Linked DNA regions of Callithrix jacchus. The protein of the gene in region 5 purifies or fractionates together with the protein of the main gene of each other region. This does not show direct contact. Links are inferred from orthologs where the notes say so. Each region holds a gene or a part of one and is shown on either strand. Other genes may lie near its edges.

The links. Proteins that work in one complex are often made in the same cells at the same time.
Region 1: the proteins of PRPF8 (region 5) and TTC27 purify together in Homo sapiens (affinity purification with mass spectrometry; 3 studies listed by BioGRID and IntAct, with this or other methods). This does not show direct contact. The link is inferred for Callithrix jacchus from reciprocal best matches to the Homo sapiens genes PRPF8 and TTC27.
Region 2: the proteins of PRPF8 (region 5) and HNRNPU fractionate together in Homo sapiens (co-fractionation; 3 studies listed by BioGRID, with this or other methods). This does not show direct contact. The link is inferred for Callithrix jacchus from reciprocal best matches to the Homo sapiens genes PRPF8 and HNRNPU.
Region 3: the proteins of PRPF8 (region 5) and SNRNP70 fractionate together in Homo sapiens (co-fractionation; 3 studies listed by BioGRID, with this or other methods). This does not show direct contact. The link is inferred for Callithrix jacchus from reciprocal best matches to the Homo sapiens genes PRPF8 and SNRNP70.
Region 4: the proteins of PRPF8 (region 5) and SART3 purify together in Homo sapiens (affinity purification with mass spectrometry; 4 studies listed by BioGRID, with this or other methods). This does not show direct contact. The link is inferred for Callithrix jacchus from reciprocal best matches to the Homo sapiens genes PRPF8 and SART3.

The regions. Positions count from the first base shown.
Region 1 is NC_133515.1:82,201,081-82,205,968, forward strand, and holds the end of TTC27 (tetratricopeptide repeat protein 27), read right to left. Parts: intron 4,742-4,888; coding exon 4,641-4,741; intron 1,495-4,640; coding exon 1,372-1,494; 3' UTR 1,259-1,371; downstream 1-1,258.
Region 2 is NC_133520.1:41,334,755-41,339,642, reverse strand, and holds part of HNRNPU (heterogeneous nuclear ribonucleoprotein U), read right to left. Parts: intron 3,579-4,888; coding exon 3,315-3,578; intron 3,000-3,314; coding exon 2,880-2,999; intron 2,252-2,879; coding exon 2,123-2,251; intron 2,000-2,122; coding exon 1,831-1,999; intron 1,542-1,830; coding exon 1,287-1,541; intron 989-1,286; coding exon 804-988; intron 443-803; coding exon 371-442; intron 1-370. UniProt on the Homo sapiens protein: DNA- and RNA-binding protein involved in several cellular processes such as nuclear chromatin organization, telomere-length regulation, transcription, mRNA alternative splicing and stability, Xist-mediated transcriptional silencing and mitotic cell progression.
Region 3 is NC_133523.1:42,910,693-42,915,580, reverse strand, and holds part of SNRNP70 (U1 small nuclear ribonucleoprotein 70 kDa), read right to left. Parts: intron 4,545-4,888; coding exon 4,480-4,544; intron 4,363-4,479; coding exon 4,300-4,362; intron 1,674-4,299; coding exon 1,592-1,673; intron 1-1,591. UniProt on the Homo sapiens protein: Component of the spliceosomal U1 snRNP, which is essential for recognition of the pre-mRNA 5' splice-site and the subsequent assembly of the spliceosome. SNRNP70 binds to the loop I region of U1-snRNA.
Region 4 is NC_133510.1:111,409,004-111,413,310, forward strand, and holds part of SART3 (spliceosome associated factor 3, U4/U6 recycling protein), read right to left. Parts: intron 2,862-4,307; coding exon 2,407-2,861; intron 1,926-2,406; coding exon 1,773-1,925; intron 820-1,772; coding exon 629-819; intron 1-628. UniProt on the Homo sapiens protein: U6 snRNP-binding protein that functions as a recycling factor of the splicing machinery. Promotes the initial reassembly of U4 and U6 snRNPs following their ejection from the spliceosome during its maturation.
Region 5 is NC_133506.1:66,572,607-66,577,494, reverse strand, and holds part of PRPF8 (pre-mRNA-processing-splicing factor 8), read right to left. Parts: intron 2,509-4,888; coding exon 2,261-2,508; intron 2,146-2,260; coding exon 1,966-2,145; intron 1,759-1,965; coding exon 1,623-1,758; intron 1,515-1,622; coding exon 1,345-1,514; intron 1,182-1,344; coding exon 1,052-1,181; intron 940-1,051; coding exon 793-939; intron 618-792; coding exon 457-617; intron 176-456; coding exon 1-175. UniProt on the Homo sapiens protein: Plays a role in pre-mRNA splicing as core component of precatalytic, catalytic and postcatalytic spliceosomal complexes, both of the predominant U2-type spliceosome and the minor U12-type spliceosome.

The DNA of each region.
Region 1 (4,888 bases), on a different chromosome or scaffold from region 5:
TTCTACAACTTTGAAGCTCTACCTCAGTCTTCTACTTGATTGCTGAAATGACTGTCCTTTTCAGTATTTTCTGTCCATTTTCTATCAGAGTGCACAGATTGATACTAATAAAAATTAATCTTAAAACCTTGCCCCACCCATCCATTCAAGTATCCACCCATCAATCATCCATCGTCCATTCACCCATCTAGTCCTCAATGGCTTCCATAAAAGGTTTAAGTAGGCCCTTAATGTTAACTCGTTTTATTGGTCTTTCTCACAGGTATTGTCTCTGCTATAAGAGAAACTGCTCTGGGGCATACACCAACTTCTTTTTAAGGATAATACGCTAATAGAAAAGAGAAGTAGGTGGTTAAGAAATGAGAGCATTTAGTACTGGTAAGCATTCATAACCAAAATTCATTAAAGTTTTTTAAAGACTGTTTTTTTAATGTTCAGAATACTTTATGAATTTTTAAGTTTCCAAAAGTAGCTGAAACTCACAGAGAAGCTAGTAGTAGAAATTATTTACATCTTCTATATAAGAACATGGGGACAAAAGGGCCAAATGATTTATACATGGGACCCAAAATTTAGCAACCCAAGCCAGGACTTAGAACTCCTCGCTATGACTTTTGTACTAAGATGGTTACGCTCAGCTGCTGCCTTCAATATTTGGTTCCATCAACATTGAAAGCATTTTACTTTGGCATTTCTATAATACGGCACCATTAATAGCTGTCTTTACCCATAATACCCTAATTAAACAACCATCTTTGGGGCTGGCAGTATACATAATGAAGGGGCAACAGCCTAGTTCCCAATAGCTAAGTAAAAATTTAGGTTATGCCATTTTTTTCTTGCATTTTCTTGATTTAGAAGTTAAACAATGCTCACATTTCCAATTTACCCAAGTCTGTATCTTTCTGACACAAGCACAAATCTCGAGAAGTATAAATGTTTCTACCTCCAAATCGACTCTTTTATCACTTTTGAACAATAAAGCAGTCAATCTAATGATTTCACAATACTATAAGTTTGCGATTTTTCACCTGTTTAGACTAAGATTTTCCAAAGTATGATCCAATTAATGTTAGGCTGAAGGAGAATAAACCCTATATTAAAAACAAAATGAATTTATCTGCCCTTTGTGCCAAAATACCTCAAGAATAGTAAGAATACTGAATTCAACTGTAATTAGACCTAAAGAGATAGGGAGTTTAAAAAATTTAATGTACTTCAGAAAGCATATAAAATTGAGAGCACAAAACCAAGAATGTTAAGTCATAAAACAAATTTATTTTAAAAATCAATAGCTTGCATTTCAGATATACAGATATATCTTTTACCAGAAGGTGAAAGCACCTCTTCCAGAATCTGCTTCCAGCAGAGTCAATACTGATTTCTAAACTGGTTGCTTAGGTCTTGGAGCTCTGTCACGAAGGTGTCCATAGCTGTTATGTCATCAGCTAATTCCCTGGAAATTTCTCCAGTTGCTACATCTGTAAAAAGTTGCTGTAATATAAAAAACACAGCAGAAATATTAAAACAATGAAATTTCTTTGAAGTAAAATAGTTTAAAAACCTTTTGCATAATAATACTATACAATTGTAATAGCAATGGTAGTGTATTTTTCTGTTCACTGAAATGTACAAGCTACAATAATTAAATGAATCAAAACAACAGGCCTCAACTTATAAATTCAAATGAGCTCTGCTCTTCAAAGCAGTTGTCTAAATACTGGTTATTAATTTCAATGTTATAGGATAGTTTTTGGATGAATAGACATAATTCAACCAAACAAAACGAGTTTATTTATTGTGTATACAGGCAAAACAAACATATTCTATATTCAAATTCATATAAATCATACCCTTTATGCTACTTATTTGGAAATTAATTTGGCTTAGGCCTCAGAGACCACAAAGATTATCCTAGCAAAAAAGTCCAGCAAAATAAAAATAAGTGTGTCCTCTCCCTGAAGAAGGAATTGCCTTGGGAGGTTTATTGCAGCACGTTCCAGTAATGCTACCACGGCTGAAAACATTGTGAAATGCCTCTCCAGGAACTGCCTCCTGAGCCAACATAGACACCCAAGAAAATCAGCTTCAGGATTTTATGACCCCCCTTTGTATGTGTGTGTGTGTGCCCATGTGACTGTGTGTATGTTTATTCAGAAATATAATTTACGTAGTTTGCCATATATCTGTTTCATTGGATTTGACTATATGATTTGTATAGCATTTCATAACAAAATGAAGTAGGAACTGCTCCAGTGTCATCTGTAAACACCTCTTAGGAAAATAATCTAGCCTCACATAGTTGTTTTTTTTTTTTTTGTATGTGTTTTTTTAAACTAAGAATGACAGTGCTTGCAAATCATAATCAATCTGCATCACTTCCCTGTGGGGTAAAGAGGAAGCACAGAGAAACTGAAGCTTAGAAAAGAATGAATAATTTGCTGACAGACTCTCCAGCACTCTCATGAACAGCCCCCCTCCTGCCACTCTTGGCAGCAAACCTGTACAAGGACAGGGTGCAAGTGGGCAGGGGAGTCACTGTGTCTTGGGGGAGCATGGACTGGATGATTTGTTAGGTGAGTCTCTAGGTACTAGTAGCTTATTTCCACGAAGTCCCTGGCCTGGCAAGAAAATTCATTCATTCAATTACGCCCATTTAACATAGGCTGTAAACAATTTAACAGAGTTATCCTCATTTATTTTCAATCTTAGTTCATTTCCACTTTCTAAAGTGTTCTAAAAAAGTGACTTTTTTGGAATGCAATTCAGTTTGACAAACCCAGTTCACTAAATAGAAAAGGCATATGATCTACAAAACCTGAGACTCCCACATATATGTAAAACATGCTTCAGAGGAGGCACTGGGAGGTAATTTTTCCCGTTTTTGGATAACCCAGATGGCATCTAATGAGAACGAAAATCTAAACACAGATGATGTTCTGAGGCCACATTTTCATTATTTGGCAATCTACCATAATATGGAAAGACGTACAGTACCTGCACAGACAACACTTTTCCAGTCATGTAAGTATAGATTTATATAAAAATAATAATTTATAAGAAAAAGCTTCACACAGACAAAAGGAAGCCACAGTATATCCTGAAGAAGTAAACTGTTGTGGATGCCTTAGCGATCTAATCAAGAGTAGGAAACAAAGTTCCAACTTTGGGAAGGAAAGTCACAGGAAAAAACCCTGCTGCTCTGACTTTGAGGGAGCTCTTGTAGATGATTGAGAGACACGATTCTGGGTTGTACTGCCAAGCTAGGAGGAAATACGGTTCTCCTGGGTCATGCAGATAAATAGGAAAAGTAAAATAAGTTAATTATCTAAAGAGGAAAAAATGATGCCTTGATCTGAAAAGATCAAACCATTAGTAAGAAAAAACATACTCTGGAAAGACTGTTTCAGAGTACGAAGGTATTCAGAAGTGGCCTCCGTGTGCCAGACTCACTCTCAGAAGTCAGTCAAAATTACTTTGCAACCCAAGATTCCCATAATGAAAGCAAGTAAAGATTAGAAAAGTAAGCACTAAATTGTGCTGGAAGTTATATTTGTCTAAATTTTCTTCCAGATGTATACTCCAAACCTGGCTGCACAGTAAAATCACCTAGGAAATTTAACAGATTTCCTGGGTTCCATCCCATTCCTGAATCTACATTGGTCACAGATAGAGCCCCAGAATCCCATCTTCAATAAAGCTCCCTGAGTGATTCTTAAGCATCTCCCGCCTCGCACTGGTCCAAAAGTTAGTCTTTGTGAACTAAAGGCATATTTCAGTTGTCAAACCTGAATCACCATCTACCTTAACAATTTTGGTCAAATCCATATACCTCCTACTTAAAATTTTTATCTAAGTCAATTTTTTTAACTTACTTGACTCTTTTTAAAAGGAAACATTACATCACTATTGTAAATACAAAATAAGCAATAATATTCATGAAAATATAGGTTTGATGTGCTAGTCTACGTTTTTCTAATATGTACTGAAATAAATATATATTTAAACCGAAAGTTTACCAGTGGCATATATGCCACACTTTGGGGAAAATGACAATAAATACAAGAGCGTTGTTTTAACATAATTTAAAGAAAGCATTAAGGGCTGAATGGTAAACATTAATTTCAAAGAATTTTTTTTTCTTGGAGACAGTGTCTCACTCTGTCACCTGAAGTGCAATGGCACAATTTCAGCTCACTGCAATCTCTGCCTCCCAGGTTCAAGTGATTCTCCTGCCTCAGCCTCCTGAGTAGCTGGGATTACAGGCACCAACCACCATGACCAGCCAATTTTTGAATTTTTTCGTAGAGATGGGGTTTCACCATGTTAGCCAGGCTGATCTCAAACTCCAGATCTCAAGTGATCGCCCACCTCAGCTTCCCAAAGTGCTGGGATTACAGGCATAAGCCACCACACCCGGCCAATTTCGAAGATTCTTAAGTCACATACATTTAGAGTGGTCTAGCCATTGAGCCAACAGGATCCTTATTAACACAATCAACCATAAGGGCGCTACAAAATAAAATATAACATGCGCCTAAAATTATCACTGATGTAAAGGATTTAATAACTAGCAATAAGTTGATACTAATGACCTTTTTCTATTTGACCATGGCAACTAATTCACATGTCATTCTCACCTTTGCTTTAGATAACAAGCCCCGTAAATTGAGTCGAACTGAAGAAAGCATTTGAACAGCTTCTTGGGGACTGGATTTGTTTTTACTGCATTTTATGGCCACTGGAAGATAAACATGGAAAGAAACATCCATTAAAAAGTGGTAATGATAATTCACAGGTTCAAATGCCAATTACTTAATTAGAATTTTATAGTAACAGACTTTAGAAATACTTCCTGGAAATTTTTTATGTTTGAAAAATAATAATA
Region 2 (4,888 bases), on a different chromosome or scaffold from region 5:
TGGAAACAAATTTATACCTGTCATACCTGATTTCTACCAAACCAGATTTAGTTAGTTTTAATATCCCGTAATTATCAATACACATTACAAAAAGAAACACATGACTTTGTTTACACAATTAAAGCTACAGTGAAAAGAACCATATACATTAAATAATATTACTTTATTAAAAAATTTAACTCATAGCAATCTTCAACCTATTTTGCCTTCAAAAGATAGATTTTGGCTACTTTCTACAACACGATTCACACTTTACCCTATTAACACTTACAAACTTTTCAATCCCTGGACAAGATCTTTTTCAAGACTGACACATCTTTAGGAACCCAAAATACAATTAATGTACATAAGCACATAAGAAATTACTTACACCCTGCTGCCACTGGTTGTAGCCCTGAGATTGATTTTTGTAGCCACGATTGTTTCCTCGTCCTCTGAAGTTCTACAAAAAGGAAATATTTTTTAAGAGCTCTGAGCCCATCTGCTTGTTAGATTGATTTGTGTGGGTCAGAGAGGAGCAAAAATAGATTACTAGCCCCTAATCTCAGGGGGAATACACACATTGGGATACCCTCTACTGATTTCTTAATGTTTTTTATTCATTATGAGAAATGCATCTGACTTATTAATTAGCATACCTGAAAACACTCAAAATTGACTCATTTCACCTCTACTAGTTCAATTTTCCTTATGTCAATGCCTATCTTTCATGTTCCTTATGGATTCCTGTTACCCCAACATAAAGCTCACAACTTTCCAGGCTAAGCTATACAGATATCATGTTTCCAGGGATACTGCATTACCTGGTTGTAGTTCCCTCTGTTGGGCATTCCACCTCTGTTGTAGTTCCCTCTGTTTGAATAACTACCACGGCCAGGAAACACAGGAGCACGAGGGTATGGATAGCCGATTCCACCGCTTCCACCGCCACCACCACCTCTCTGTGGCATGTTGCCCCTCCTATTATATCCACCACGATTCCCAGGGGCTAAAAAACGAGAGATGTTTTGATTTAATTGCATTGTATACTACCTACTTATACAAGACTTGGGATTCCTCTAGACTGTTACTTTTTCTCAAAAAATAATCATCAAATCACATCGATACCTTAAACTAGTTCCTGTGACAGCACAGCATTAATGAGGAAGAAACTACAGCTACATCCAAACTACATCCGAATTTTTTTTTTCAATTTTTCTTTAGAGGCTACTTCAAATCAACCGAACTATAAAAGTATCACTTGTTTCGATCCTGGATGGAATATAGAACACTAGAAATTAACTCGCCTCCTCCTCTGAAATTTCCGCCACGCATATTGAATCCTCCACGTCCTCTATGGCCACCACCCCTGTTAAACTGGTTCTTGCCACTCTTATTTTTATTGCTCTTCTTTGAGCCAGTGTTCTGTTTCTTTTCTGGTGGAAGAGCCTTTTTGCTTTCTTCCTTATATTGCTCCAAAAGCTTTTGGGCTTCTTCTTTCTGAAGTTCAACATAGGTTATTTCATCAAAGCATTCGGCTACCTCTGGGAGGGTAAAGTTTCCTGCAGTAAACAAAGTCGTATTATTAACTTAGAGACCCACCACAAATCCCGCAACCCTAAAGCTAACGATTCTTGAGGCTTAGTAACTTTATTTTCCTCAACAGAAATAGACCAAACATACAGGCATATTTAACGAGTGCAATTGTAACTCTTGAAACAGTATTGCTGGCAAAAACGTTAATTTTTCAGATACGTAAACCATAGAGATTTAATAGTTACATAAGCAGAATAAGCATGGGGAAAAAGTTTTAAAAAAGATTTAACACAGTCACAGAATTCAATTTCATGCCTTTCATTTTGAGGACTGCATGTTCTGGTAGGTCTTTCCCCTCTACTTCTGCTTTCTTCTGTGTTCTCTGCTTATAGTCTTCATCTTTTGGGCAAACTACAACAGCTTTTCGCTGGAAGCCTGCAAACAGGCACATTTTTCTCCTCTGGGCAGCAGCAGACACATTTGTCTTTAAAAAAAAAAAAAAAAAAAAAAAAAAGAAATTGTGTTTATAACTATAAACGCTATTAATTCTACACCAATCTATCTCAGTTACCAGTTAATATTTTTCCATTTCAAAGCTACAGCATACCTGATCCAGAATAAAATTTCGCTTCTTACGGGCAGCAATCTCAATAAATTTCCCAAGACACTGTGGGGCTCTCTGCAACAGTGTGTTCAGTTTTCCAGTATCTGCCATTTGCTTCTTAAAACCTGCCACCTATATATATTCAAAAGTTAAAAATTTTAAAATTCAACTCTTATCTATATGGAAAGTAGGCAACATTTTATAATTTTAAGTATACCTTTGTCCATTACTAATACAAAAACAAGGTCATTTAACTATGTAACAAGACCCTACTCAATTATTTTTAGCTGCTAGATGTTAAGAGCTCAAAAAAACTATGGAAAAAATAAAAGACAAGACAAGCCTAGCCAAGGAACCAACTTAATTTTGCCTTACCTCCTATTTCTAATATAACAAAATGGATAAAGACAACAGGCAAAAGGTTTACCTAGAATACCTCCTGGTTTTTTTTTTTCCTGAGACGCACTCTCGCCTCACTGCAACCTCCACCTCCCTGGTTCAAGTGGTTCTCCCTGCCCCTGCCTCCCTCAGCTGGGATTACAGGTGCCCACCACTATGCCCAGCTAATGTGTATATTTCTAGTAGAGACGGGGTTTCACCATGTTGGCCAGGTAGGTCCCTAACACTTGGCCTCAAGTGATCGATCCACCCACCTTGACTTCCCAAGTGCTGGCATTACAGGTGTTTGAGCCTGCACAATCCAGCCTTTCCTGGTCTATTTTATAAACACTTGAGATAAAGCCCTCAACATTTTACTTACCATCATTTTATCCATAATAGTATTTGTTCCAAGAATGTTGTATTTCCCTGGATTTTCTGCTGCATGCTTGGTAACCCAGGTAGTTTTTCCAGCTCCTGGCAAGCCAATCATCATCACAACCTAGTGAGAAGAAAGAAGTATCATTTCACTGTCTAGTCATTCGACATCACCTAATAATCTTTAAAATACTGTCTTTTAAAGCCAATTTAAGTATTTAGGTTTTCATAGTCCTTACAATAAAGGACAAAAAAATGTGTGTTTATAAAAAGATTAACAGTTAACACAATGGGGAAACACAGCTAACTTAAGAGAAAAATCCAATTGAAAGCAGTATGTATAGCAAAAAGTAAACGAAACAAATCATCTAGCTCTTCTCAATGTCATTTGCGCCAAGCAAGCAATATTCAAATGCCACCGTTAAAAAAAATCACTTACTTCACAATCTTTCTTCTCTTCAGGCCCCTTTGGTCCTCTAACTCGATCCTCTAAGGGGACATTCTGGATAAAAGTATACTCTTCCGGTATTGGAAAATATGGCTTTTCCTTCTGACCAAAATTAAATTCAACTGCACAGTTGTGGCAAAGAACATGCGGAAAGAGTGGCCGTCCAGCAAGAACTTCCTTACTGATTTTGAAGGCAATGCCAAGATCCTGTCCATTCTTAGCATAGGAGAGTTCTACATCGTCACTTTCAAAGTTCTGTTAAACAGAAAAAATTTCAACAACTAAAATCTGCTTCCTATAAACTTTCAAAGAACTCCAGAATTAAATGAGCAGCAGGCCGGGCGCAGTGGCTCACACCTGTAATCCCAGCACTTTGGGAGGCCGAGGTGGGTGGATCACGAGATTGAGACCATCCTGATCAACATGCTGAAACCCTGTCTCTACTAAAAATACAAAAAATTAGCTGGGTGTGGGGGCGCGTGCCTGTAATCCCAGCTACTCAGGAGGCTGAGGCAGGAGAATTGCCTGAACCCAGGAGGCGGAGGTTGCGGTGAGCCGAGATCGCACCATTGCACTCCAGCCTGGGTAACGAGCGAAACTCCGCCGGGAACGGTGGCCCAAGCCTGTAATCCCAGCACTTTGGGAGGCCGAGGCGGGTGGATCACGAGGTCAAGAGATAGAGACCATCCTGGTCAACATGGTGAAACCCCGTCTCTACTAAAAATACAAAAAATTAGCTGGGCGTTGTGGCACGCGCCTGTAATCCCAGCTACTTGGGAGGCTGAGGCAGGAGAATTGCCTGACCCCAGGAGGTGGAGGTTGCGGTGAGCCGAGATTGCGCCATTGCACTCCAGCCTGGGTAACAAGAGCGAAACTCCGTCTCAAAAAAAAAAAAAAAAAAAAAACTAAATGAGGAGAAAAGTTTATCCTGTGGAAGTTACAGGTTAAAGAACTATTAGTTAATTCAAGGACAGGCAAACAGGAAAGAAAAAAAAAAAAAAAAAGACCTATTAGGAGGCCTCTAAGGGCTAAACAGTTAAGAAATCTGACAGTTGGCCAGGCATGGTGGCTCACACCTATAGTCCAGGTACTTTGGAGGCCAAGGCAGGCAGATCACCTGAGAGGTTGGGAGTTCAAGACCAGCCTGACCAACATGGTGAAACCCCGTTTTTTTTTTTTTGTTTTTTTTTTTTTTTAAAAAAGGGAAAAAAGAAATCTAACAGTTAAGGCCTGGTGTGGTGGCTCATCCCAGCACTTCGGGGAGGCCTGGCCAACATGATGAAACCCCATCTCACCATGGGTGGTGGCTCACGCCTGTAATCCCAACACTTTGGGAGGCCAAGGCAGGTGAGTCATTAAGTCAAGAGTTTGAGATCAGTCTGACCAACATAGTGAAATCCCCATCTGTACTAAAAATACAAAAATTAGCTGACCCTGGTGACATATGCCTGCTATTCAGGAAGCAGAGGAAGGAGAATCACTAGAACCTGAGAGGAGGAGGTTCCAGTGAGCTGAGATCACCCTACTGCATTCAAGCCTGGGTGACACAGTAAGACCCCCATCTC
Region 3 (4,888 bases), on a different chromosome or scaffold from region 5:
GAGGCTGGCACGCAGGGGTCCAGGAGATGGTGTTGCCAGTGCTCTGAGGAGGGGCCGCTTGGCCCCTGAACCCACAGGAGGGGAGTGGGGAAAGGCATTTAAGGACCAGGATCAAAGTCAAGCGAAGAAACCCCGCTTGGGTTCAGAGTCCCAAACCCCAAGAGGCCCAACCCGGGAAGAACAGCAAAGAAAACATGTGATTGTGTTCATCTAGGCCTCTCTCTCTCTTTCCCTCTCTCTGAAGTCTCTAGACAGTGGACGGTTCTTTAGTTAAAACCTACGACACCTTCAGCTGCTGGCAACTTACCCCTTGGTCCCTCCCACACCCCAAGCCCCAATTCCATGCACTTTGGGGAGCTCGTGACCACCTCTGGAGTGGCTGGACACCACAGCCAGCCCCTCGGGAGGCTTCGACCACAGTAAGGAAGACAGGAAGGGGGCAGAGTGCCCCAAAACTAGCAGCCAAAAAGATTCTCCAGGGCCAGCACAGTGGCAGCCCCACAGAAAGCACGGGGGCAGGGAGGGAAGGCGGAAGGGTTCCAGTGGAGCCCTGGCCTGGTGCCCTGCCCTCGGTTTTCCCACCACCTCACCGCTGACATCGCGAAGCCGGGTCATTAGAGGCCGGTGGAGCCCAAGCGGAGAGGCTGCTGCCTTTCCCACCGGGTTCATCCTTCCCCTCCTGCGATCAGCAAGATTCTCAGAAAGCATACGGATCGGGGCAGGAGGGACAAAGGGCACCCAAACAAGGAAAGGGCTGTGGGTGCGGGGAGGCTGCGGGGGCGACTGGGGCGGGAGAAGGGGTGCCTCGCTGCTCCTGAGCTGCCTGGCTAAGCTGGGCTGGTGTGCGGTGCTGAGTGATCTTACCCATGATACAAACCCTTATACCAACCATACACTGAGGTGTTGTAAGGGGAGCGTAAGCATCAGCTGCAAGCCAGCTGCGTGGTGGCTGCAGTGACAATAAGAACAGTCAATTAATACGGCGGCCCCTGGACACGCCGCAGCCCTGCCCGCCCTCCCCCACCCATCCCTGCCCATGTGGACGCCGCGGCAGCCTCAAAGGGGGCTTTGGAACTGTAGGGGCGGGCGCTCAACATGCCTATCACCCCACTGCCCGCTGAGGAACAGGGTGGGGGGCCAGAGCTGGGGAGGCGGAGGGTTGGGTGGCCCAGCCCCAGTTGTACTGGGGGGGAAGAGAGGGCAAGTTCAAAGGCCAGTCGTCACTGGCAACCTGGCCACCCCCAACTCCAGTGGGGGGAATAATGGGGAGAGGTTCCCCCAAAATCCGACCCCTCCCCCCACCTCCGGCTGGCCCCAGCCCCCCACCCAGTTCCCTCTTTGCCCCTGAGGTTCAACGTGTGACACTTACCTCCCCAGGTTCACACACACACACGTTGTGGGGGATTTGGTTTTTGTTTTTTAAAAAACACGTATATAAAAAAAAAAAAGATATATCAGAAACAGAGGGAGGAGGAGAAGAGACATCGCTAATGTCAGGTGTGGCAGGGTGGGGAGGGGACAGACTGGGAAGGGCTGGGGCAGCAGAGAAGTGAGAGGGTCAGAGGGCAGCGCTGCGGCGGGTGGTACTCACAGTGCATGTCCCGCTCGTGTTCATACTCGATGAAGGCATAGCCGCGGGGCTTTCCCGACCGCTTACTGTAGACCATGTGGATCTGCAGGCGTGGGGACAGGGCTGAGTCCCGACACAGGGCAGCTCCGCCCCACCCACCCCACATCAGCCTGCACGAGAGGCCCGGGGCCAGACCCTCTCTGTCCTTCAAGAGCCCCAAGTGACTTATGATCTAATAGCAGGAGCAGAGGGCACAGAGGTGACTTCCTGGAGAAAATGACATGTAAGCTAAGACCTAAAGACCGAACAGGGATGAAGGGACAGTGATGAAGGTGTCTGCCTCAGCCTCCCAGGTAGCTGGGATTACAGGCGTGCACCACCACACCTGGCTAATGTTTTGTATTGTTAGTAGAGATGAGGTTTCACCACGTTGGCCAAGCTGGTCTCAAACTCCTGACCTCGTGATCTGCCCGCCTCGGCCTCCCAAAGTGCTGGGATTACAGGTGTGAGCCACTGCGCCCGGCCAGGGACAGGGGAGTTCTAAGAGAAAAAGAAAGGACGTGTGCACAGCCAGGGAGGCCTGAGAGAATGTGGCGCACTAAGGATGGGTCCCATCTGAGGATGGCAGCAAGGGAGGAAAGGGGAGACGTGAGATGGAGGTCCACGAGGCCACATAGCTTGAGGAAGGGCCCTGGAAGGCCAGGCAGTTGCACCTGGACCTGTCCTAACATGCTAGGGACCCATGGGAGGTTGTGTGCAGAGGAGACAGGGTCAGCTCTGGATGGCAAAAAGACCCCCCTGGGACCACGTCAAGGAGAACAATGGGCAGGGCAGGGCTGTTGAGACAGAGGAGGCCGGGATGAAGTAGGGAAGGTTTCTGGGAGGTGAGAGCATTTGGGCTGGTCCCTAAAGGATGGCTAGTTCTCCATTCATGTCACTACCAGTTGTCGACCAATCCAAGTTGCGTCGTGGATGAGCTCACCTGGTCCTAGGACTTGAACCTGGGACCCCGTAGCCTCCAAAACCCAACTGAGATTCCTGACTCGAATGGGATCAAAGGGATGAGGGCAGGGCCAACGTTGTTACTGGGCTGTGCAGGGCATAACACGTGTGCCGTCTTTATATTCGTGTATATACACAGGCACGAGCCACCACGCTTGGCTAACATTTTGTATTTTTAGTAGAGACACGGTTTCGCCATGTTGGCCAGGCTGGTCTTGAACTCCTGATCTCTGGTGATCTGCCTGTCTCAGCCTCCCAAAGTGCTGGGATTACAGGCATGAACCACCACACCCAGCCTATAATACTTTTTTTCTTTCCTCTTTTTTGTGGAGGACAGGGTCTCACTATATTGCCCAGGCATGTCTTCAATTCCAGGGCTTAAGCTGGCCTCCTGCCTTTGCTTCCCTAAGAGCTGGGATTACAGGAGTGAGTCACTGTGCCCGGCCTGACGTGTATAAACATATATATATATATATATATATATATATATTTTTTTTTTTTTTTTTTTTTCTGAGAGGGAGTCTCACTCTGTCACCTAGGCTGGAATACAGTGTTGTAATCTAGGTTCACTGCAACCTCTGCTGCCTGGGTTCAAGTGATTCTCCTGCCTCAGCTTCCTGACTAGCTAGGACTATAGGCGCACGCCACCAAGCCTGGCTAATTTTTTTATATTTAGTAGAGACAGGGTTTTGCCATGTTAGCCAGGATGGCCTGGACCTCTTGACCTCGTGATCCACCCACCTCGGCCTCCCAAAGTGCTGGGATTACAGGCATGAGTAATCCCAGCCACACCCCGCCACAAATATTGTTTAAAAATGTATCAGAAATAGAGGAGAACAGACACAGCTAATGTCAGTTTTTGTCTAATGTCAGTTTTCGTGTGGGACGGTCTCAGACTCTTACTACTGCTCAGTGAAGACATTTGTCTCCCACTTTAGGTAAAGAAAATCAGGCACAGAGCACTTAAGTAACTCAAAAGAAGATCAGTAAAACAAAGTCTTCCTCTAAAACAAGAGTCCGCATACACATTCTGCAAAGACCAAGAGAGTAGCTTACTTCCAGCTGTGACAGCCTTCTATTCTGCTGTAACAACCCAAACCTGCCTTACGACAGTAGCAGCCAGGCCGGGCGTGGTGGCTGATGCTTGTAATACCAGCACTTTGGGAGGCTGGTAGATCACAAGGTCAGGAGTTCAACACCAGCCTGGCCAACACAGTGAAACCCCGTCTCTACTAAAAATACAAAAATTAGCTGGACGTCGTGGCGGGCACCTGTAATCCCAGCTACTCAGGAGACTAAGGCAGGAGAATCACTTGAACTCAAGAGGTGGAGGTTGCAGTGAGCCGAGATTGCACCACTGCACCCCAGCCTGGGCAACAGAGCTGAACTCTGTCTCAAAAAAAAAAAAAAAAAAAAAGGCAGCCAAAGACAATGTATAAACAAACAGCTGCCCAGATGAGCCAGTAAGACTGTATTTACAAGCAGTAAGTCTGCAGTTTGCCAGCCCCCTGCTCTGAACCAGCCCCCAGCAGTCAGTCACTACAGTCACTACCTCTCATCTGACTCCTGCTCCCCAAGGCCTGCTGCATGCAGATTCACTCAGGGTACATCAGCCCGGGCCCTGAAATGCTGCGAGCCAGGCCCAGGGCTGGGAGCTCGCCTCCCTTTCAGGCTACAGCCCTCCTCCACGCACGCCCCATTCAAACACCCTGACCCACTCCACTTACTCTTTTGATGGGTCCATACACCTCAAACTCTCTCCGGAGCTTGGACTCTGTGGTGTCATAGTTCTACAAGGAGATGGAGACGACGTTAAACGGGAAACGGGAGGTCCCCGGAACGTCCCCTGGGTCCTAGCCTATCTGCCCTTTGTCCCAGGCCCAGGCTCTCGGCAGCTGGGGACTTACCACTCTTGCCACGAAGAGTGTCTTGAAGGCATCCCCCTGAGCATTGGGATCATTGTGGGGGTCCCCTGTGTAGGAAGAAAGGAATTTTGTAAGCTGAAGGTGTCCACAGTCTCAGGGAGCAAAACAAATACAGATGGGCAGAGGCCGAGAAAAAAGAGAGGGCACTGGGAGAGCCCCTAACTGGAGGAACATGGGTGGTGACCTGGTAACTTCAAGCATGCCCCTCTCTGAACCTATTTCTCTAAGGCACAGTAGCCTTTACCAGAGTGGCTGAGAGATGATAATCCAGGCTGCTGAGGGGAGGAGGTCAGGCTGACTTCCAGCTGACAGGGTATGGCAGGCCCAACTACCATTTCAGACCTACAGAAGCCACAAGGGCCCCATTGCTCCCAGATGCAAGGTGATCCAA
Region 4 (4,307 bases), on a different chromosome or scaffold from region 5:
TTATTTGTAAAAATAAGCCAAGACAGTTTTAATATAACCAGAAGTTAAAAAGTGAAAAAGAAGGATGAGATAATCCTTGCCTCCTTAATTCTGGCTATTAAGTAAAAACTGCTTCAACAAACGACCTTGTTCAGTTTTGGCAAAGATTAACCCTGAGCACCAGTCACACTCAAAGGGAATCAGAGTGACTATCGCCTCTCAGACCTCACCAGTCACCCAGCAATTCCGCTATCTCCTCCTCATCCCTATCGGGGGGAAAAGCACAGCTTATATGGATCATAGCTAGGGCTGTAGACTGGCACACACATGGGTATGAGATTTTGTTTTAAACACACAGATCCAACTGGCAAAGGGGACTTTAAAATAGTCACTGCCTTTAGTTCTGTAATAAATGACGAAGTGTAAATTGGCCAATACCAGGCAGGGGTCACTGCCTAGGCTTGCACCCTCCCTGGACCTGCTCTGGACACCTTGCTCCAGTGGAACCACAGTGATTACCACAAGAACAGCAGACCTTGGCTTTTCTGTCCTAACAGGAAGCTAATTCGTCCTGGTTAATCCCACCATGGTCCATGAACTGGTGTCAGCCACAGTGAAGTCTGCACTAATCTACTGTGCAAGCACTTACGCTCCGTATGTCTGCGGTGAAGGCATGGGGCCACCTGATGCCTTCCTGGCCTCTGGCTTCTCTGGAACCTTCCTCTGAGGAGGGTTGCTGATTGCCACTTTGATGACATTCTCTTTGATAGTCATGCCGTCCATCTTCATCACAGCCTGCGACGCCTGGGATTCATTTTCATACTCTACATAGGCCAGGCCCTGGAAGAGGCAAGATCCAGAACCAAGTCAGATCCTGCAGACCCAGGATACAACCTCCTCCCACAGGGCAGGCACTGGGCCTCCTCCTGGAGACCAGCAGACCAGGACACAGCAGACGCCCCACCAACAGATTATCTTCCCCACCACCACATCCTCTGTCTACAGGCTTGTTTCCCCACCCTCCTCTCCTTCCCTATTGCTGTTACGCACTGTAACTTCAGATAACCCTTCCAAGTTCAGGACACGTGGTATGTGCTGCGGAAGTAGAAAGAAAGAAGGAAACAGACAGATGGACCAGTATAAATCCAGCAAATAAACCAAGAGGTGGACGGAACACAGGGTGAGCAGTCCAGGTGCCCAGGTGAGCCCTCGTGTTTCTGTGCCCTTACACCGCACCCCGCCCCCCCGTTTCATCTTCTTTTTCTCTCCATTAACCTGGATAAAGGGGAGGAGGTAAAGTGGGCAGTGGGTAGACAGTAACACAAAACCACTTACTACTCAAAATGGGGCACAAAAGGACTTAGCAGGAGACTGCGGGGCAAGAAGGAAGGACATGAGAAGACGTACTGCAATGGAGGGACTCAAGGGGCCTGGCTGGAGGCCCCAGGGAAAGAGAGGCCTGGGAAAGAGGGAGGAGGCTACACAAGGTGCCCACCCCAAAGCCTGTGTGCTGCTGGTCACAGGGCTTCCCTCAAGCCCCACAGCAAGGGGCCAGAGTATGGTGAATTCATGATCATCTATTTCCAAGTGCCTTATTCTTTTTAGTACAATTAACTACAAACAGGTTAATCTGACTCCAAATATAAGTAGAGCTAAGTGTGCAGATCTTTGTTAAAATAACTTTTCTCAGCAGATGAACTAGGAACCCACCCTAAAGGTAAATAATCTTTGAACAGATACAAAAACGAAGTTTGCATGAGTCTTGAAGAGGCACAGTCTGCTCTAACGCTGACCTTTGGTTTGCCAGCCCTATTGGTGACCAGCCTGAGGTCCTTCACGGTGCCATGAACCTTACAGATTTCCTCTAGTTCCTCTTTAGTGCAGGAGAAAGGCAGGCCCGAGATGAACAGCTTGTGTTTCTCCAGGGAAGTGCTGTACCTGAACACCTGTAGGAAGGAAGGGAGAAAAAAAACCATGATTCAAGGCCTGACCCTGCTCACCTGACTCCTCTGACACCAGCCTTGTCCCCAGGAGCATGCCCAGCCAGGCAGACCAGAGCCAAGCCATGCTGAAGCTTGTTAACAGAGCCACCGGGCTGAGTCATTTAACCTCTCTAGCCTCCATGTCTTCCTCTGTAAAATGGCAAGAATAAAAGTGGCCAGTCACAGAGTCTGATAAGGGTTCAATGAGGTGACATACATACAACACATTTAGCACAGTCTCTTGTCACTACCAAGCACCCAGCAGCAAGTACCTATGCCATGAGTCAGACCTCAGTCAACCAGGTCAGCATGGACCTCGGCAGACAAGGAAGTTTAGATCCAAACAGCATAAAACTTCTGTTTATATCCTAAATATCACTGCTGCAGGAAGGAAGTCCCTACAGCAATCACAGATACAAGGCATTCTGTTTTTCCATAAACCTACCTTAAAATCGGGGTTTTTGCTCTTATCCACACAGGGGGAAACAAACATTGGCCTCCCCTCTACACTTTTACGGTCCATCTCCAGTGCCTGAAGGGCTGATTTCTCTTCTTTAAACTCCACATAGCAGTAGCCTCGGAAATCCCCACGGTTGCTGAAGATGGGTCGGATCTGGACCACCTCCCCACAGGCCTCGAAGAGCGGCTTGAGCTTCGCATCCGGCTCCTGCATGCTATAGGGCAGGTTGCTGACAAAGACGGTGATGCTGTCCTTGCTGCTATCGTGCAGCACCTTGGGCATGTCCCTCTTCAGGGAGGCTGCCTTCTCCTTCTGCTTCGAAGGGGGCTCCACATCTACAACAGCACATTTCCCAGCGGGCCCTGCTGCTGATTCCATGTTTTGTGTTTCTCCAGCTGCAGGGATGCTGTTCTCCACCCTTCTGCGTTTGGAAGGCTGCTCTACAGGTTTTCAAAAGAAAAAATAGCCTTGGTTAACCGTTACCTCTCTTTGGGGAGCTTGAACAGAGGTGTGATGTGAATGAGCTGTGACAGCTGCATGTGACACTCCCTCGCCAGACACAGAAGAGCAAGCATCACCCGGAGAAGTCTTTTGTGACCCGCCTGACCTGTCCCACGACTTTCTGTGTGCCCCAGTTATACTCGGGTAAGTGGGCTCAGTCAAGTGGAAGTAATAATATAAATCCCCATTGTCCACTCTTAATTATACAAAAGGCCAGAGGGTCTCAAAGTTCAGAAAGCAAATCCCAGGGCCCCTCTCCTACAAAAGCCCAGGTCAACAGGGGTGGGACAGGACATGAGAATCTGCACTGGAAAAGCACCCTAGTAACTGATGCCCATGCCCCACAGAGCACATTTTGGAAAGCACTACAAAGGGTCTGTGATTTCTAAAACACTTTCAATATTACCTTGTGTCCTTAAGAGAGCTTAACCACAATCTTTTACTCCAGTCTGTCCTCACCACTGCCTCCAGAGGGCCAGGACTAAAGTTCAACAGATGTCTGCCTCCAGCAAACAGACCTCCCCATCAGTTCACCCAACACTTTTGCAGTGAGTGGAAAGCCCTGCACGCTGCTACTGTATTCAAGAGCGCACCTGGGCTGGGTCCAGCTGACTGGCCCGCCTACCACTCCAGCCTCCTCAAACACTGCCCCATCTCTTCTCCATGTATCCAAGTTCAAACCCAATTATTTGCTCTTACAGAAATTGCCAGGCTGTGATAGGCCTTCAGGCTGTGCTAACACTGGCTCCCTGTCTAGCTCGGCCCTTCCCTTCTTGATGCCAGACAGTCACTCAGTCTCCCCGCTGGATTTCAAACCTCTTCCCCTTCAGTCTTCCTGGTACAGAGCTAGCCTTCTTTGGCCTCCACCACTACTAACAATTCCATTTCCCACAGTCCTGATGACATGCCACCGTGGTCACATATCACATTTGCCTTACTCTACTAAACTGGGAGGCCTGAGGGGCAATGAGCCCCCCTTAGTTATTAAGGAAAGCCCAAACAAGGTGTGCAAGCAAGGTCAACTCAAAGATGGATGACTCCATTCCCAGTTCTTTCTGGCTCATACATCTGTACCAAGAAAGTGTACAGAGTCCCTTACACATCCAGAGACAATTCTTTTTTTTTCTTTTTATGAGATGGAGTCTTGCTCTGTCTCCCAGGCTGGAGTTCAGTGGTGCGATCTCAGCTCATTGCAAACTCCACCTCCTATGCTCAAGTGATTCTCTTGTTTCAGCCTCCCAAGTAGCTGGGAAAACAGGCACCTGCCATCATGCCTGGCTAATTTTTGTATTTTTAGTAGAGACAGGTTTTCACCATGTTGGCCAGGTTGGTCTTAGATCCCTGACCTCAGGTGATCCACCCACCTCGGCCTCCCAAAGTGCTGG
Region 5 (4,888 bases):
CAGGTCAATGGCAATGAGCACACCTGTGGGCGAAGGGTAGATACTCATGTTGTCTGTGGTGTAGTCCAAGAACTTGGCCCGGGCGTAGCGCTCAATGTCATGGGAATCGTAGTCCCCCCAGCGCAACTGGATGTCAATCCAGTATTTCTGGGTGGTGGTGCTGTCCATCACATCCCTGAGGATGAAGAGGGCTCAAGCTTCTAGAAAACCATGCTCATAACCCATGTCCCCAGAACCACAGACTTCCTCATCACTTATATCCCAAAACCATCCCACCCACCCCACCAAGTTGTTCCAGATCAGCAAGACCCCAGAGGGTCAGCAGATCTGACTAAGGGTATTGACAGGCTCCCAGTTTGAGAAAGGCAGACAGGGCCAATTCCTCAAGTAGCAGTGCTGGAAGAACAGTCAAACTAAAGTTCCCAGATTCCTAGGGCTGTGGCCTGAGGCCCTTACTTGGAGTCAGCCAGCAATGAGGGCCGGGAGACATTCCACTTATAGGAAGCAAAGAGCAGGATATCCGCACAGGACGAGTTCATCTTATATGACTTTCGGGGATGTATTGTTTCCTTTTGTACTGTCTCAATTTCCAGTGCATCAAGTTCCTGGTCAAACACCTGAAGCAAAAGATGTAGAGATGAAGGCTTGTCAGGAAAGCCCAATGAGAACGAGAGTGTGCAGATTTCAGATGAGGCAATGGGAATCTCATCCTCAGAGCTTCCAGCATGAATTTCCCATATCAAGAGAGCAAGCCAGGCTGACTTCTGATGGCACCCCTTGATCCCAGCCAACCTGACATAAGTCCATGACGATGCTCTCATGGATCTTCTGCCACAGGTGAGCTCGGAAGATCTGGATGAGTGAGATCTTCAGCGTGGGGATCTTGCCATGCATGAAGATGCCCGTCAGGTCGAGCTGCACCTGAAAGCCTACATACACCTGGCAGGAAAGACAGTGTGACATCAGAGATTGAGACTCGGGCGCTCGTGACATAACCCAGGAGAAACAACTGTTTTCAGCTTCCCATCTCCAGTCTACCAGTCACACTCACATTGGCTCGATTGATGGTTGGGGACCACCAGAGGGTGAATCTACGATTGGGAATCTGGTTCAACCCTGATCGCTGAGCATTAGTTAGCTTCTTCCACTTCATAGACTCCTCAAAGCCACTGGCCTTCTCCCTGGGGAGCAAGAGAACCAGGTGAGGTGATATCCTTCCAGCTCCCAGCACACAGCTGACCTCCTGGAGGTGGCTGTCTGGGAAACACCACAGAAGACCACGGAGGCACACAAGAGACGAGCTCAAAGGGCTGTGACAGGTCTCTCTGAGAGGAGAATCCTCACCAGAAAAGCCCCTCCCAGGTAGGGAAGTAAGTGCCCTTGAAGAGCGTGTGTTCTAGAATGCCTTCCACACCGCCCAGGGCCTGGATCATGTCTGTACGGTAGTTGTTCAGGTTCCAGAGCTTCCCATCATGCCGCTGGTGTGTCCACCAGAACGGATTCTGCTTCAAAACCTAAAAGGCAAGGCAGGCACGGTCAAGTTTCTGGGTGCCCACTGCCCCAAGTTTCCGGGACAGCCATGGATTTTCCTGATTCAGGGAAAATCTACTCCCGCCACATACCTGATACTGCTTAAAGTCAGTTCTGACACGCCAGCCCTTATCATAAGCCAGTGTGTGCCGATCCTTCTGGAAGAGGGTATTGATTCGAGGAATGCCACGATCCCATGAATCTTCTAGGTCTTCTAAAGTCAGCCGTCTTCCAAGAAAGAAAGATTAAAGTCAAAACACTTTCTCATATCAAGAGCTCAACACTCCTTCCTAGCCAAAAATAATCAGGGTCAGGAGTAGAACCAGCCTCTCACCCCCATAAAAACATGGCATGCTTTAGGCCTGAACTCCACACAAGGTTCAAAGGCCACCTCCTGCCCCTGCCCCATGGTTGGCATGCCCTCTAGGTGCCCACCTGTTCTGAGCGATGGCCTCCTGCCTCTTGAGTGCATACTCAGCCCAAACCCGCTGGGAATCAATGAACTCACTTTCCCATGGCTGTATGTAGCGGTACAAGTTGGGAATCAGTTGGTCTTCCTCATGGCTCATTCCTGAACGGAAGTGTGTGATACCTACATCTGTCTGCTTGGACCACCTGTTTGGGGATACAACCAAGATGAGAGAAAAAATAAAGCCTAAGACTAAAGAAATACCCAATTCCCTTAGGGCCTGAGCAACAGGACTTAGAAACAGGTGTAACCAGGCTGTACCTGAGGTCGGACTGGGGGATGAGCACGTGACCCATGGAGAGCATGCCGAGTCCACCCAGCTCCTTAGGGGTGTAGAACACAACTGGGGGGAACCGACTTGGCATCTTGGAGTTGAGTCCAATCTTGATACGTGTCTGGATCTTGTTCTCACACTTCACCAGCAAGTCCAAGAGCTCTTGGGTGTTCACCACAGCCTCCCGAAAGTATGTCATGAGGCCAATGAGAGCTGTATTCCACTTATTCACAATCTAAAGACAGTAGGAAAAAAAGCAAATGACAGATGGGCCAGGGGCGGGGAGGGTGGAGACAACCTGACCCAGTTAGTTTTATCCCTACTACTCAAGAAAGATTTGAGTTCAACATCATTAGTCACTAGGGAAATAGAAAGCAAAACCACAATGAGGCTGGGTGCAGCGGCTCATGCCTATAATCCCAGCACTTTGGGAGGCCAAGGTGAGAGAACTGCTTGAGCCCGGGAGTTGGAGACCAGCCTGGGCGACATAGGAAGACCCTATTCAGTAGGCTGAGATGCTAGGATCGCTTCAGGCCAGGAGTTACAGGCTGCATGAGCCATGATCATACCACTGCACTCCAGCCTAGGAGACACATGACTGTCTCAAAAGAAAAGAGAGAAAAGAGAAAGCAAAATACTTTTTTTTTTAGGCAAACAAAAAGCAAAGCCTTTTGGGCCAGGTGCAGTGACTCATGTCTTTAATAATAATACCAGCACTTTGGGAGGCCAAGGTGGGTGGATAACCTGTGGTCAGCAGTTTTGAGACCAGCCTGGCCAACATGGCAAAACCCCTTCTCTACTAGAAGTAAATACAAAAATTAGCCGGGTATGGTGGCAGGCACCTGTAGTCCCAGCTACTCGGGAGGCTGAGGCAGGGAGAACTGCTTGAACCCAGGAGGCAGAGGTTGCAGTGAGCCAAGATTGTACCATTGCACCCCAGCCTGAGCGACAGAGTGAGACACTGTCTCCCAAAAAAAAAAAAAAAAAAGAAAACCAAAAGAAAAAGGACACCAGATGGAGCTATACAAAGTAGTGAAGAACACCAGAAATAGTAATTACGTGGTTAAAATGTAAAAGATATTTTTTCTCATTTTGCAATTTCTATAAAAGATAAAGGCTGTTTAAAGCAAAAAGAGTAAAAATATTGTAGCACTTATAATTCATGTACAATTAAAACATTATGACAAAAATACTACTAAGAGTGGGAGTGGAAGTTAAAGTGTACCTTGTAAGGCTCTTGTATTATATGTAAAGTGATTGGCAGTAGATTAATGGTCACAGATCACCGTAAATGAGGGATGTATACTATAAACCTCAGAGCAAACAGTAAGGAAAAACCATGTAGCCAAATAAATGAAAAGTGGAGATAAATTAGAATCACAAAACAACTGAATTCAGAAGGCAAGAAAAGGGAAAACAGAAAGAATGAAACAAAAAAAAGATGGATAAGATGGTAGATATAAACTGAACTACAATGCTACACTGAGAGCATTGTAACTTAACCTTAATTGAGATATTTATACCATATTTGTGCAGTAAACACTATCAAATTAGATTAAATAAAAATCAGGCACGCTGGCTCACAGCTGTAATCCAGCACTTTAGGTGGCTGAGGAGGGTCTTGGGGTCAGGAGTTCGAGACCAGCCTGGCCAGCATGGTGAAATTGTTTCTACTAAAAATACAAAAATTAGCTGGGCGTGGTGGCACATACCTGTAGTCTTAGCTATTTGGGAGACTGAGGCAGGAGAATCACTTGAATCTGGCAGGCGGAGGTTGCAGTAAGCCAGTATCGCACCACTGCACTCCAGCCTGCCTGGGTGACAGAGTGACAGACTCCAACTCAAAAAAAAAAACAGGCCGGGCATGGTGGCTCACGCCTGTAATCCCATCACTTTGGGAGGCCAAGGCAGGTGGATCATGAGGTCAAGAGATCAAGAACATCCTGGCCAACATGGTGAAACCCCGTCTCTAGTCTCTACTAAAAGTACAAAAAATTAGCCTGGTGTGGTAGTGCGTGCCTGTTGTCCCAGCTACTTGGAAGGCTGAGGCAGGAGAATTGCTTGAAACCAGAAAATGGAAGTTGCAGTGAGCCAGGATCGTGCCACTGCACTACTCCAGCCTGGCAAAAGAGGGAGACTCTGTCTCAAAAAAAAAAAAAACCCACACACCAAGATCCAACTATATGCTGTCTATAAGAAATAAACTTTAATTACAAAGACAGATTAACAATAAAAAGATGGAAAAATACACCCACGCAAACACAAAACAAAGCTGGTGTGGCACTACTGATATAAGACGAAGACTTCAGACGATAGAATACTATCAGGAATACAGAGGAACATTCGATTTAATAAAGTAGTCCATTCAGAAGACATGGTAATTCTAAATACCTTATGTAACCAAAAACAGACTCTCAAAAAAAAATGATGGACCTGAAAGAAAAAACAAACCCACAGCTGTAGCTGGAGGTAACTCTTTCTCTTTATGGAGACAGGGTCTTGCTCTGTTGCCCAGGCTGGAGTGCAATGGTGCTATCTCCACTCACTGCAAACTCCACCTCCCAGGGTCAAGAGACTCCCAAGTAGCTGGGACTATAGGCGCATACCAACACATC